3 linked regions of the Macaca fascicularis genome follow. The protein of the gene in region 2 interacts with the protein of the main gene of each other region in a pairwise test. Links are inferred from orthologs where the notes say so. Each region holds a gene or a part of one and is shown on either strand. Other genes may lie near its edges. The genes, in order: MID2, IQCN and CALML3.

Region 1 (4,198 bases), on a different chromosome or scaffold from region 2:
ATGTAACATCAGATTTGGGATGAACTCTGATCTTCTTGACTCCTGGACCTGTGTTTTAACCACTGCATTAGCTATTCTTGCATTGCCTTAAAGAAATACCTGAAACTGGGTAGTTTATAAATAAAAGAGGTAGGCTGGGCATTGTGGCTCTTGCCTATAATCCCAGCACTTGGTGAGGCCCTCAGATCGCTTGACCTCAGGAGTTCGAGACCAGCCTGAGCAATATGTCAAAACCCCATCTCTACAAAAAATACAAAAATTAGCTGGGTGTGGTGGCATGCACCTGTGGTCCCAACTACTCAAGATGCTGAGATAGAAGGATTGCTTAAGCCCGAGGCAAGACCCTTTCTCAAAAAAAAAAAAAAAAACAGAAAAGAAAAGAAAAAAAAGAAAAGAGGTTTAATTGGGTCACAGTTCTGCAGGCTGTACAGGAAGTGTGATGCCAGCATCTGCTTCTGAGGAGGACTCAGGAAGCTTACAATCATGGAGGGAGGCAAATGGGGAGCAGGAGATTCTCACATGGTGTGAGCAGAAGCAAGGGAGAAAGAGAGCTGGGGGGAAGTGCCGCACGCTTTTAAACAACCAGATCTCAGGAGAGATTACTCACTATCACAAGGACTCACAGTCAACCAAGGTGATGGTGCTAAACCATTCATGAGAAATCTGCCCTCATGATCCAGTCACCTCCCATCAGGCCCCACCTCAACACTGGGGATTACATTTGTACATAAGATTTGGGCAGGGATAAATATCCAAACTTTATCAAACACATGAATCAAGTTGTGAGGAGCAATCAGGAGAAATCTAATTCACATTATATACCCATGTTAAGTTCATTGATTGGGCAGGAATATATAAAAATAGCAAAGACAGTTTCTCCCTCAGTACAGTCATGAGAGGAGACAGACAGGGGGATGTGAGTGTCGGGGGGGTGGGGAGGGGGAAGCTAACCATCTGGGGTAGAATGAAACCACTCCCCAAACAGAAGAAAAGTAGGGGAGGAGAACTCCCTATTCAGCAACTCCCTTCTATTGGAATATTGCCAGAGAACTGATTAGAGTACTGGGACGGAGCAGAATGGGGTTAAAGGCAGCCCTTCTGGCCCAAGTTGAGAATCAGAGGGATCAACCCACACATGGTACTTCTCTATTTAGTTTCCAATATATTCCTTTATAAGGGCTCATCCTCAGAGACACACAACCATCACCATCTATCCGCCCCACACTCAGAAATCCTCAAAAGGCAAAGTGGTTGAAGAAGTAAGATGCAGCATGGCTGGGAGGCTGGGAGGGCACAGGTTGATGGGGAAAGCCTGGGGTCCAAGGCGCTCTAGTGCGGGATTTCCATAGTCATGTAAGTGTTGTGACATAGGAAGGTGAGTGATCATGAAAACGGTAGGGGACAGTGGAAGAGAGAGAGAAAGTAAAGAGTAAAACGACTCCAGGATTTCAATTTCCTGCTCTAAGAAGCAACACTTCTGAAAAATAATGTGCAACACACGAAGTGCTAAGTAACCTAAACCTTATCATCACCAGTAATATTCCTGTAAATCTACTCTGCCGTTATTTACTTAATTCTTACAAGGCAGGAATGGAAAATCCCCACTCTCCCTGGTTGCGTCGCAGTCTGTCCTGTGGACATATGTAAGTTTTCCCTCTCCCCCACAGAGCTGGTTTCACAGCTAGGCCAGAAATAAGGAACCATCCAGACGGAGACTCGAGGATCGCTCCCCTGGCAGAAAAGGGATTAAGTTTCACCGGGCCTCCCCGCCGGCAGGGCGTCCGCAGCCACGCCGGCTGCTGCGACAGCACCGCCCGGCAGACGGCCGGCCAAGGGGCGACGCCGGGGACGAAGAGGCTGCCGGCTGCGGGAGCGTGGGAAGGCGGCCGTGCCCTTTCCCAGACTCGCGCCCAGGCGCCGGAGGATTCGCTCGACTGCCCGCGCCCGGCCCGGCCCGGCTGCGCAGAGGCCTCGGCCGCCCCCGCCCCGCACCCCGGAGTGCAAACTCTGTCCCAGGAGGGCAGTGGCAGGAACCCGAGCCCCAACAGCATGACTGGGAGCCGGAGCTGATCTGGGGCCCCCGTCGCCGTCTCGAGCCTCGCGGGCCCCATCACCCTGCCCCGCCGAGCCCGAGAGCCCTCGGCTAACGCCGGGCCCCGGCGGCACCTGAAAAGCGGCCGGAGCCAGGGCCGAGCCCTGCGAGGGCGACGACGCTCGACCTCCAGGGCCGCGGCGAGGGGGCGCGTTTTACCCATAGCGTTCCCAGGTGCCAGCCATCTCCTCTGCTCGCTCGAGGGCGCTGGGCGCTCGTCTGCCTCCGCAGCGGGCTAGCTCGGGCTCCGGCGCGAGCTCCAGGGCCCCGGTCGCCGCCGCCGCCGCCGCCACCACTCTAGGCCGCCGCCCGCCTTCGCTGCAGCTGCCGCTACCGTCGCCGACGCCGCGCAGCAGCCGGGATCCGCCAGCCCGCGCGCCCCGCAGGGGATAGCACGGCGGCCGCGATGCTACCGCGGCTGGGTCTCCCGAGCTGAAGTTAAGAGTTTTCGCCCCTCAGTCCAGGGGCAGCACCATGACACCACGGCAGCACCACACTGTCATTTCCGCCGCCGCAGAGGAAAAAAAAAGGCAATCCCTTCCAAAAGGGAGGCGGAGTGGGGGCAAACGGGGTTGGGGCTGACACCCCAAGGGAGCACTGGGAAGGGCCAAAGAAGAAGGGGCGCTCGGACACCTTCCCAGGCTCACCTTCCGCCGCCCCCGCCACTCCCAGCTCCCCCAGCCCTTCCTCTGGAGGCACGTTTACATGTCTTCTCCCCTGGCAGGAGTGACCGGAGAAACCTGAGCAAGCAAAGGCAGCCGGTGGGTGGGGCTCGGGTTACTACTGTACCTACCAGCTGATTCCAGCAGCCTTTTCTCCAGCGCCCTGTCATCTTGAAGGAAGACACAGAGAGAGGGACCCGGGCGGGTGTGTGTGTGTGTATGTGTGTGTTGTGTGTGTGTGTGTGTGTGTGTGTGTGTGTGTGTGTGAGTGACAGAGCGACAGAGAAAGCAGAATGTGTGTGAAATGCAGAAGGAAGACTATGGCTAAACTCTTCTCCCACTCCCCACTCCTCTGTCCCCCAGCCCCACAAACCCCAGGTTAGAACAAGGAAGAGGCCTTTGCAACCGGTAATAAGAAGAGAGTGCCCGGGTCCACCGCACAGATCCTCTCCATGAAGCTGCTCTATGCAAAGTTAACTACAGAGTAAAACAAAAATAGTGGAGGAGATAGAAAAGGGCAGACAATTGAAGGAAACCCAACCCCTCTTTCTTTTTACAAAGAGAGAATGGCTGTGTTTTATTGGCCTCGGGCAGAAGTTGTGAAGGTGGATTAAAGCCATCAAAAGAAAAAAAAAAAGCAGGATTTTTCTTGTACCTTCAAATTGTTGACCAGTAAAACAAGAGGGTCGTTACCACAAGGACAATGAGGCAGATGCTAGCTATCCAGGTATTCCAGGTCCCTAATAAGCTAATTGGTCCATTTGGAATCCAGCATCCTCCCATTGGTCTGGAGTGACCCCCACTCAAAAGGTGGATGGGAGAGGGAAAGAGCAGGAAGCCCCATAAGAGACTGTTTCTAACTTGGGGCAAAAAGAGAGAACAAGGGGAAAGAAATGAAATGAGAGGACCTGCCCCAGCGCGCGCGCGCACGCGCGCACACACACACACACACACACACACACACACACACGCCTGCCATCATTGTGCATAAGAACAAGCCCAGAAAAATTGAGGTATCTCTTGGTATATCCCTTCAGGGAACCAATAGTAATCAGTCAACACTCCTGTGAAACAATGTGCTAGAGATCACTGAGGTGGAAACCAAGGCAAAAATCACAACCAGGCTGCCCTGATGAAAGTCTGGCCCCGGCCGGGCGCGGTGGCTCAAGCCTGTAATCCCAGCACTTTGGGAGGCGGAGACGGGCGGATCATGAGGTCAGGAGATCGAGACCATCCTGGCTAACACGGTGAAACCCCGTCTCTACTAAAAAATACAAAAAAACTAGCCAGGTGAGGTGGCGGGCGCCTGTAGTCCCAGCTACTCGGGAGGCTGAGGCAGGAGAATGGTGTGAACCCAGGAGGCGGAGCTTGCAGTGAGCTGAGATCCGGCCACTGCACTCCAGCCTGGGCGGCAGAGCGAGACTCCGTCTCAAAAAAAAAAAAA
Region 2 (4,445 bases):
CTTTTTTTTTTTTTTTTTTTGGGACGGAGTGTCTTGCTCTTGTTGCCAGGCTGGAGTGTAATGCCATAATCTTGGCTCACTGCAGCCTCCTCCTCCCGGCTTCAAGCGATTCTCCTGCCTCAGTCTTCTGAGTAGCTGGGACTACAGGTGCCCGCCACCATACCTGGCTCCTTTTGTTTTCTTTTTTTTTTTTTGAGACAGAGTCTTGCTGTGTCACCCAAGCTGGAGCGAGGTGTCATGATCTCAGCTCACTGCAACCTCCACCTACCAGGTTCAAACAATTCTCCTCCCTCAGCCTCCTGAGTAGCTGGGATTACAGGCATGTGCCACCATGCTGAGCTGATTTTTGTATTTTTAGTAGAGATGGGGTTTCACCATGTTGGCCAGGCTGGTCTCGAACTCCTGAGCTTGTGATCCACTCACCTGGACCTCCCAAAGTGTTGGGATTACAGGCGTGAGCCACTGTGCCCGGCCTACTTTTCTGTATTTTTAGTAGAGACAGGGTTTCACCATGTTGGCCCGGCTGGCCTCGAACTCCTGACCCCAAGCAATCTGCCGACCTTGGCCTCCCAAAGTGCTGGAATGACAGACGTGAGCCACCCCCCTGGCCAATTTGCCTTTAAGACTTTATTCATCAACTTAATTTACCTATTCATCCAAACCTTCATCTGTCTCTCCAACCCATCTACCATTCACTCATCGACTGATTCATCCTTTCAGTATCTAGTCCTGTATCTATCTGTCCATCCAACTTCCAATCCCCTCACCATTTATCGGTCAAGATGCCCGCCCACCCAATACCTACCCATTCACAGCTTAGAACCAAGCCCTATGACTGAGATGGGACACAATAATGACTCTGCCTTCTGGGATTCACAGTCAATGGGAGAGGCAAATAATCTCCCCCACCACACTTCTCTATCCTTTTCACACACACACACACGCGCGCACACACACACAGACACACGCACACACACACGCGCACACGCACACACGCACGCGCACACACACACACTCTCACACGCACACACATACACACACACAGGCAAACAGGAAATTTCCAAAACATTGTGATCAGTGCTAAACCCAGGGTACATCTAAGATAAAGTTTGAAAAGCGGGCCGGGCGCGGTGGCTCACACCTGTAATCCCAGCACTTTGGGAGGCCGAGGCAGGTGGATCACCTGAGGTCAGGAGTTTGAGACCAGCCTGGCCAACATGGTGAAACCCCGTCTCCACTAAAAATACAGAAAAGTAGCCAGGCATGGTGGCACACACCTGTAATTTCAGCTACTCGGGAGGCTGAGGCAGGAGAATCACTTGAAACCAGGAGGTGGAGGTTGCGGTGAGCCAAGATCACACCATTGCACTCCAGCCTGGGCAACAAGAGCGAAACTTTGTCTCAAAAACAAACAAAAAACAAAAAGAAAGAAAAAAGAAAAGCAGTTAAGTGGTCCGGCATTCAGGTGTCATGCACTGTGTGCCAGGATGAAGTGGCCGTAGGATGACCTCTTGTCTGCAGGACCTGCTACACCCTTACCACCCCCTGCCGCCCCCACAGGCAGAGCTGACCTGCCCAGTAATCAAGGCAATGCAGCCGGCCACCCAGCTACAGTTCACGAACCACTTGTCACCCAATGGGCAGTGCATCCTCCAGCCCCCGCCCACCCCTAGTCTCCCGGACAAAATGGAGAAAGCACCTCCACAGCCCCAGCACGAGGGCCTCAAGTCCGAGGAGCATCTTCCGCAACAGCCTGCTGCAGCCAAGACAGTGTCCCGCCACATCCCACGCCTCCGGGCTGTGGTCGAGAGCCAGGCCTTCAAGAACATCCTGGTAGATGAGATGGACATGATGCACGCCCGCGCAGCCACACTCATCCAAGCCAACTGGAGGGGCTATCGGCTCCGGCAGAAGCTGATTTCCCAGATGACGGCGGCCAAGGCCATCCAGGAGGCATGGCGGCGCTTCAACAAGAGACACATCCTGCACTCCAGCAAGTTGTTGGTGAAGAAAGTGAGGGCGGAGGACGGGAACATCCCTTATCACGCCCCGCAGCAGGTGCGCTTCCAGCATCCGGAAGAGAACTGCCTTCTGTCCCCGCCCGTCATGGTGAACAAGGAGACCCAGTTCCCTTCCTATGACAATCTGGTCCTCTGCAGACCCCAGTCATCCCCCCTCCTGAAGCCTCCAGCAGCTCAGGGTACCCCAGAACCCTGTGTGCAGGCTCCTCATGCTGCTGGAGTCCGGGGGGTGGCCTTCCTGCCACACCAGACGGTCACCATCAGATTTCCCTGCCCAGTGAGTTTGGATGCAAAATGCCAGTCATGCTTGCTGACCAGAACCATCAGAAGCACCTGCCTCGTCCACATAGAGGGTGACTCAGTGAAAACCAAACGTGTAACTGCCCGGACCAACAAAGCTGGGGTTCCGGAGACGCCATTGTCCAGAAGGTACGACAAGGCAGTTATGGGACCATCCAGAGCCCAAACCCAGGGCCCTGTGGAAGCAGAGACCCCCAAAGCCCCTTTCCAGATATGCCCAGGGCCTGTGATCACCAAGACCTTACTCCAGACATATCCGGTGGTCTCCATGACCCTGCCGCAAACATATTCAGCGTCCACGACGACCACCACCCCACACAAGACTAGCCCTGTTCCCAAAATAACAATAACCAAGACCCCAGTCCAGATGTATCCGGGGCCCACAGTGATGACCAAAACTGCACCTCACACATGCCCCATGCCCACGATGACCAAGATCCAGGTGCACTCCACAGCTTCCAGAACTGGCACCCCACGGCAGACATGCCGCGCAACCATCACGGCAAAGCACCAACCTCAGGTTTCCCTTCTGGCCTCCATCATGAAGAGCCCACCCCAGGTATGCCCAGGGCCTGCGATGGCAAAGACCCCACCCCAGACGCACCCGGTCGCCACCCCAGCCAAAAGCCCACTGCAAACGTGTCTGGCAGCCACCACGTCCAACACTTCATCCCAGATGAGCCCGGTTGGGTTGACCAAGCCCTCGCGCCAGACTCGCCTGGCAGCCATGATAACCAAGACCCCAGCCCAGTTACGCTCAGTGGCCACCATCCTCAAGACCCTGTGTCTGGCCTCTCCAACAGTGGCAAATGTCAAGGCTCCACCCCAAGTGGCGGTACGAGGCTCCATCCATGACAACCCACCCAAGGCCAAGGCCACCATGAATATGAAGCAGGCTGCAGAGGCGGTGAAAGCCTCATCCCCCTCCTATTTGGCTGAGGGGAAGATCAGGTGCCTGGCCCAATCACGTCTGGGAACTGGGGTCCCCAGGGCTCCAGCTAAGCTTCCTTTGGAAGCTGAGAAAATCAAGACTGGCCCCCAGAAACCGGTGAAAGCTGACATGGCATTGAAGACCAGTGTGGCAGTGGAAGTGGCTGGGGCTCCATCCTGGACAAAAGTTGCTGAGGAAGGGGACAAGCCATCTCACCTGTATGTGCCTGTAGACGTGGCTGTCACCCTGCCCCGGGGACAGCCGGCTGCCCCACTGACCAACGCCTCATCCCAGAGACATCCACCTTGCCTGTCCCAGAGACCACTGGCCACCCCGCTGACCAAGGCCTCATCTCAGGGACATCTGCCCATCGAGCTGACCAAGACCCCATCCCTGGCCCATCTGGTCACCTGTCTGAGCAAGATGCATTCCCAGGCACATCTGGCCACAGGTGCCATGAAGGTCCAATCCCAAGTGCCTCTGGCCACCTGTCTGACCAAGACGCAGTCCCGGGGGCAGCCGATCATAACCAAGCGCCTCATCCCAGCTCACCAGGCTGCTGATCTCAGCAGCAACACCCATTCCCAGGTGCTCCTAACAGGGTCCAAGGTGTCCAACCAGGCCTGCCAGCACCTCAGTGGCCTGAGTGCCCCACCCTGGGCCAAGCCAGAGGACAGATGGACTCAGCCAAAGCCCCATGGACATGTGCCGGGGAAGACCACTCAGGGGGGACCATGCCCGGCAGCCTGTGAGGTCCAGGGTACGCTGGTGCCACTGATGGCACCCACCGGACATTCCACATGTCATGTTGAGTCCTGGGGAGACAGCGGAGCCACGCGTGCCCAGCCATCAATGCCCAGCCAGGCGGTGCCCTGCCAGGAGGACACGGTAGGCTCCCTGCTGGCCTCCCTGTGTGCTGAAGTAGCTGGTGTGCTGGCATCCCAGGAGGATCTCCGCACTCTGTTGGCCAAAGCCCTCTCCCAGGGAGAAGTCCGGGCAGCTCTGAACCAGGCCCTGTCCAAGGAGTTCCTGGGTGCCACTGTCGCCAGAGCCCTGCCCCAGAGCATGCTGAGCATGGCGCTGGTGAAGGCGCTGTCCTGGAGTGAGCTGCGCCTGACCCTGTCCCGAGCCCTGTCCCAGGGCGAGCTGCGGGCAGAACTCGCCAAGGTCATGCAGGGTAAATTGGCCGAGGT
Region 3 (3,152 bases), on a different chromosome or scaffold from region 2:
CGGGGCTGGGGCCCAGCTCTTTGTTTTACAAAGGAGGAAACACCGGGTGGTGGTGGGCGGGGGTGGGTGTCAGGGAGAGAGGATGCATCCACCATGGCCTTTTCTGATGAGCTCCGTCTAGGGCCCACACTGGAAAACACACCTCCCTTTAGAACTGAAGGGATCTCTGGCAGGGCCCCTTCAACCTTCTCTGGGTGTTGCCGGCTGCTTGCAGGGCTAGGGCAGGACTAACACCTCTGCATGGCTCTTACCCTGTGTGTGCCCAGCGTGCCCCCCACCATCTTCTAGTGCCTGGCACTTCACAACCAGGGAGCACTTGCCACGGGGAATAAAAACAATCAGCAGGTCCCTTCTCAACATAATGGACTCAGGTCTTTCAAGTCCTGATGGACTTTTAACCACTCTTTGCTGCCAGCATATCCATTTGATTGAGAATATTCAAGATTTCCCTCATCCAGACTTCTCTCTCTCTGAGGCACCGCACCCCACCAAAGGAATTCATTGCATTTTCAAAAAGCACAAAAATGGAGATTCCTGCCTCGTTTCAACGCTGAATGTAACAAGGATCATTTCCATGGGAACCAGAAAAAAGGAAATGAAATAAGAACGAATATCTCATTTATTTCCCTGCAGCTCCCCTCCCCTGCTCATCCAAACCTCCCTCCTTCCAGATGAATAGGAACAGGTTACAGCTGACCCGGTTTCACTCCCAGCTTCAGAGGATGAATCACGGTGGGTTGGCCGACAAGGAAAGGGGCAAGCTGGGGCAGCGTGGAAGGCAGTGCTGTTTTCAGGAGGCCTAACCTCTGTGGCCACAGTCCCCATCAGCACCCCTTACCGCAGGCCAAGAGGCCTCCCACCCTCCAGAATCCGACTGCGGAGGGAGCCTCCAGTCCAGGAGCCTCCGGGAATCCTGGCGTGGGCTGAGGGCTGCAGCCGCCCTGGCCTGGGCATTGGGTGCCTGTTAGGGATCTTGCCTGCGTGCTCTAAGGGGTCACCCTGTGTCCATCCTGACTGGCCGCAGAGTCAGCGCAACCTGCCCTGGTGCTTGGTCCTAAGGTCAGCTCTGCTTCTCCCGAGTGGGGAGGGTTCCACGGTTTGCTTGGAGCGGGAGAGTTCCATGTCATTCAGATGAGCAGGTGGGAAGGTGGGCAGGAGCGCAGAGAAGAGATGCGGGAAGTGGGATGCAGAGAGGTGGGCAGAATCAACCTGGCCCAGGAAGACGCCACCCTGCCCTGGGGAGGCAGCGGGGAAGGAGGAGGAGGCTAGAGGCCCCGGGTTCTTGCCCTGCGGGCCGAGCGGGCGCCCAGGAGCATGGTGGGCGCCGGCCTCACTTGGACACCAGCACACGGACGAACTCCTCGTAGTTCACCTGTCCGTCTCCATCCGTGTCCGCGGCCCGGATCATCTCGTCCACCTCCTCGTCACTCAGCTTCTCCCCCAGCCGGGTCATGACGTGTCGCAGCTCCGCGGCGCTGACGAAGCCGTTGCCGTCCTTGTCGAACACGCGGAAGGCCTCGCGGATCTCCTCCTCGTTGTCCGTGTCCTTCATCTTCCTGGCCATCATGCCCAGGAACTCGGGGAAGTCCACGGTGCCGTTGCCGTCCCGGTCGATCTCGCTCATCATGTCCCGCAGCTCGGCCTCCGTGGGGTTCTGGCCCAGGGACCGCATGACCGTGCCCAGCTCGCGGGTGGTGATGCAGCCGTCCCCGTCCTTGTCAAACAGGGAGAAGGCCTCCTTGAATTCTGTGATCTGTTCTTCTGTCAGCTGGTCGGCCATGCCAGGGGTGGGGGCGTGGGTGGCAGAAGAGGCCACGGCGGGGTCTCCCTCCCAGTGCCGGAGCCCGGCTGCTGTCCCAGCTCTGGGGTGGCAGGTGGAGATCTGGGCGGCCGGCGGGCTGTCTCGCCCTGGCTTGAGTCGCTGGAGCTTAAGAAGCAGCAGAGTCCTCCCCCATCATTGGCAGACGCCCGTGCCCTGCGGTTGCCCGAGCCTGTCCTGTTTAGACAGGAGTCCGGGGCCTGCGAATTGAGCTGACGCCAGCACCTCTGTGCCTGCCTGCACCCGGACCCAGCAGAGCCACAGGGGCCCCGGAATCGCACCTGCAGTTAGGGCGTGGTGGGCAAGCTTTGGAGCAATGCACGCTGGACTGCATCCTCCTGAATTCCCCTTTCTCTCCTCCCTCCGGATCTCCCACCTGCTCCCTGTCTCCCCCTCAATTAACTCCAGTGCCCTTTCTTCTCTTGAGTGGAGGGCTTTTTGCCTGATGAAAGGCAGATGGAAGAAACTTCCTTGCCTTGGGTTTCTAAAGCCGTCTATAGCACCTGAGGGTTTTTGGAGGAGGAAGGTTTTTCCTTCAGGTAGAAGCAGGGAGTTTTCTTATCTTCAGAATGGACATGAATAGGGAGGGGTTTCCTCCAACCCATTCACTCATCCACCCTTTCACAGATATTTACTGAGTGCCTACTATGTGCAGTGTCACTCTGGAAGCTGGGAACACAGTGGGACCGGCAAGCCACCCCCAGTTCTCGTGAGGTTAACTAGCAAGACAGCTAGTTCGCAGGTAAACTAATCGAGGAATGCAAACAAGGTAACTAGGGATTGTTGATAAATGCTGACGGACATACAAGGTGGTGATGGACAGGACCCCGAGGTCACCTTTCGGCCTGGTCAAGGACAGACCCTCTGCTGAGAAGCAGCCGTCTAGGCTGCAGTGGGCATGGCGGGGCCAAGGGCTGGCAGATGATCAGGGGGGCTGCAGGCCTGTGAGGGAGGGGACAAGGAGGAGAGACAAAGGAGCCCTTGAAGGGCTCAGTCAGGAAGTCCCACTTCATAGTCTGGTCCACGGTGCCCCAGGAGCTCCAGGGAGCACGGAGCTGGGGCTGAGGGGAGGGCCTCTCTAGGAGGAGACCTGCTCAGGGGGATGGTGGGGTGTTCACAGCACAGACTCGGCTCCTACTCCCAGGGGGCCTGGGGACATGACCCCCAAAGAGGCAGGAGCAGGCGCTTCACCTGTGGGAATCCAGGAAATCCACACTGGGGGAGAAACATGGGACCCACTCTATTTTTTGCTGGGTGTGTAGGGGTGGGGCAGGGACCTGAATGGGAAAGAAAGTGTCCTTTTGAGGACCTGGACTTGCCGGGGAGAGACTAT

Evidence for each region.
Region 1: the proteins of IQCN (region 2) and MID2 interact in binary tests that used the Homo sapiens proteins (3 or more experiments, as listed by UniProt). The two-hybrid records come from large-scale screens. The link is inferred for Macaca fascicularis from reciprocal best matches to the Homo sapiens genes IQCN and MID2.
Region 3: the proteins of IQCN (region 2) and CALML3 interact in binary tests that used the Homo sapiens proteins (3 or more experiments, as listed by UniProt). The two-hybrid records come from large-scale screens. The link is inferred for Macaca fascicularis from reciprocal best matches to the Homo sapiens genes IQCN and CALML3.

What each region holds. Positions count from the first base shown.
Region 1 is NC_088395.1:114,394,395-114,398,592, reverse strand, and holds the start of MID2 (probable E3 ubiquitin-protein ligase MID2), read right to left. Parts: upstream 2,821-4,198; 5' UTR 2,256-2,820; coding exon 2,252-2,255; intron 1-2,251. UniProt on the Homo sapiens protein: E3 ubiquitin ligase that plays a role in microtubule stabilization. Mediates the 'Lys-48'-linked polyubiquitination of LRRK2 to drive its localization to microtubules and its proteasomal degradation in neurons.
Region 2 is NC_088393.1:18,628,896-18,633,340, reverse strand, and holds the start of IQCN (IQ domain-containing protein N), read left to right. Parts: upstream 1-1,590; coding exon 1,591-4,445. UniProt on the Homo sapiens protein: Essential for spermiogenesis and fertilization. May be required for manchette assembly in elongating spermatids.
Region 3 is NC_088383.1:6,448,610-6,451,761, reverse strand, and holds CALML3 (calmodulin-like protein 3), read right to left. Parts: upstream 1,906-3,152; 5' UTR 1,781-1,905; coding exon 1,331-1,780; 3' UTR 602-1,330; downstream 1-601. UniProt on the Homo sapiens protein: May function as a specific light chain of unconventional myosin-10 (MYO10), also enhances MYO10 translation, possibly by acting as a chaperone for the emerging MYO10 heavy chain protein.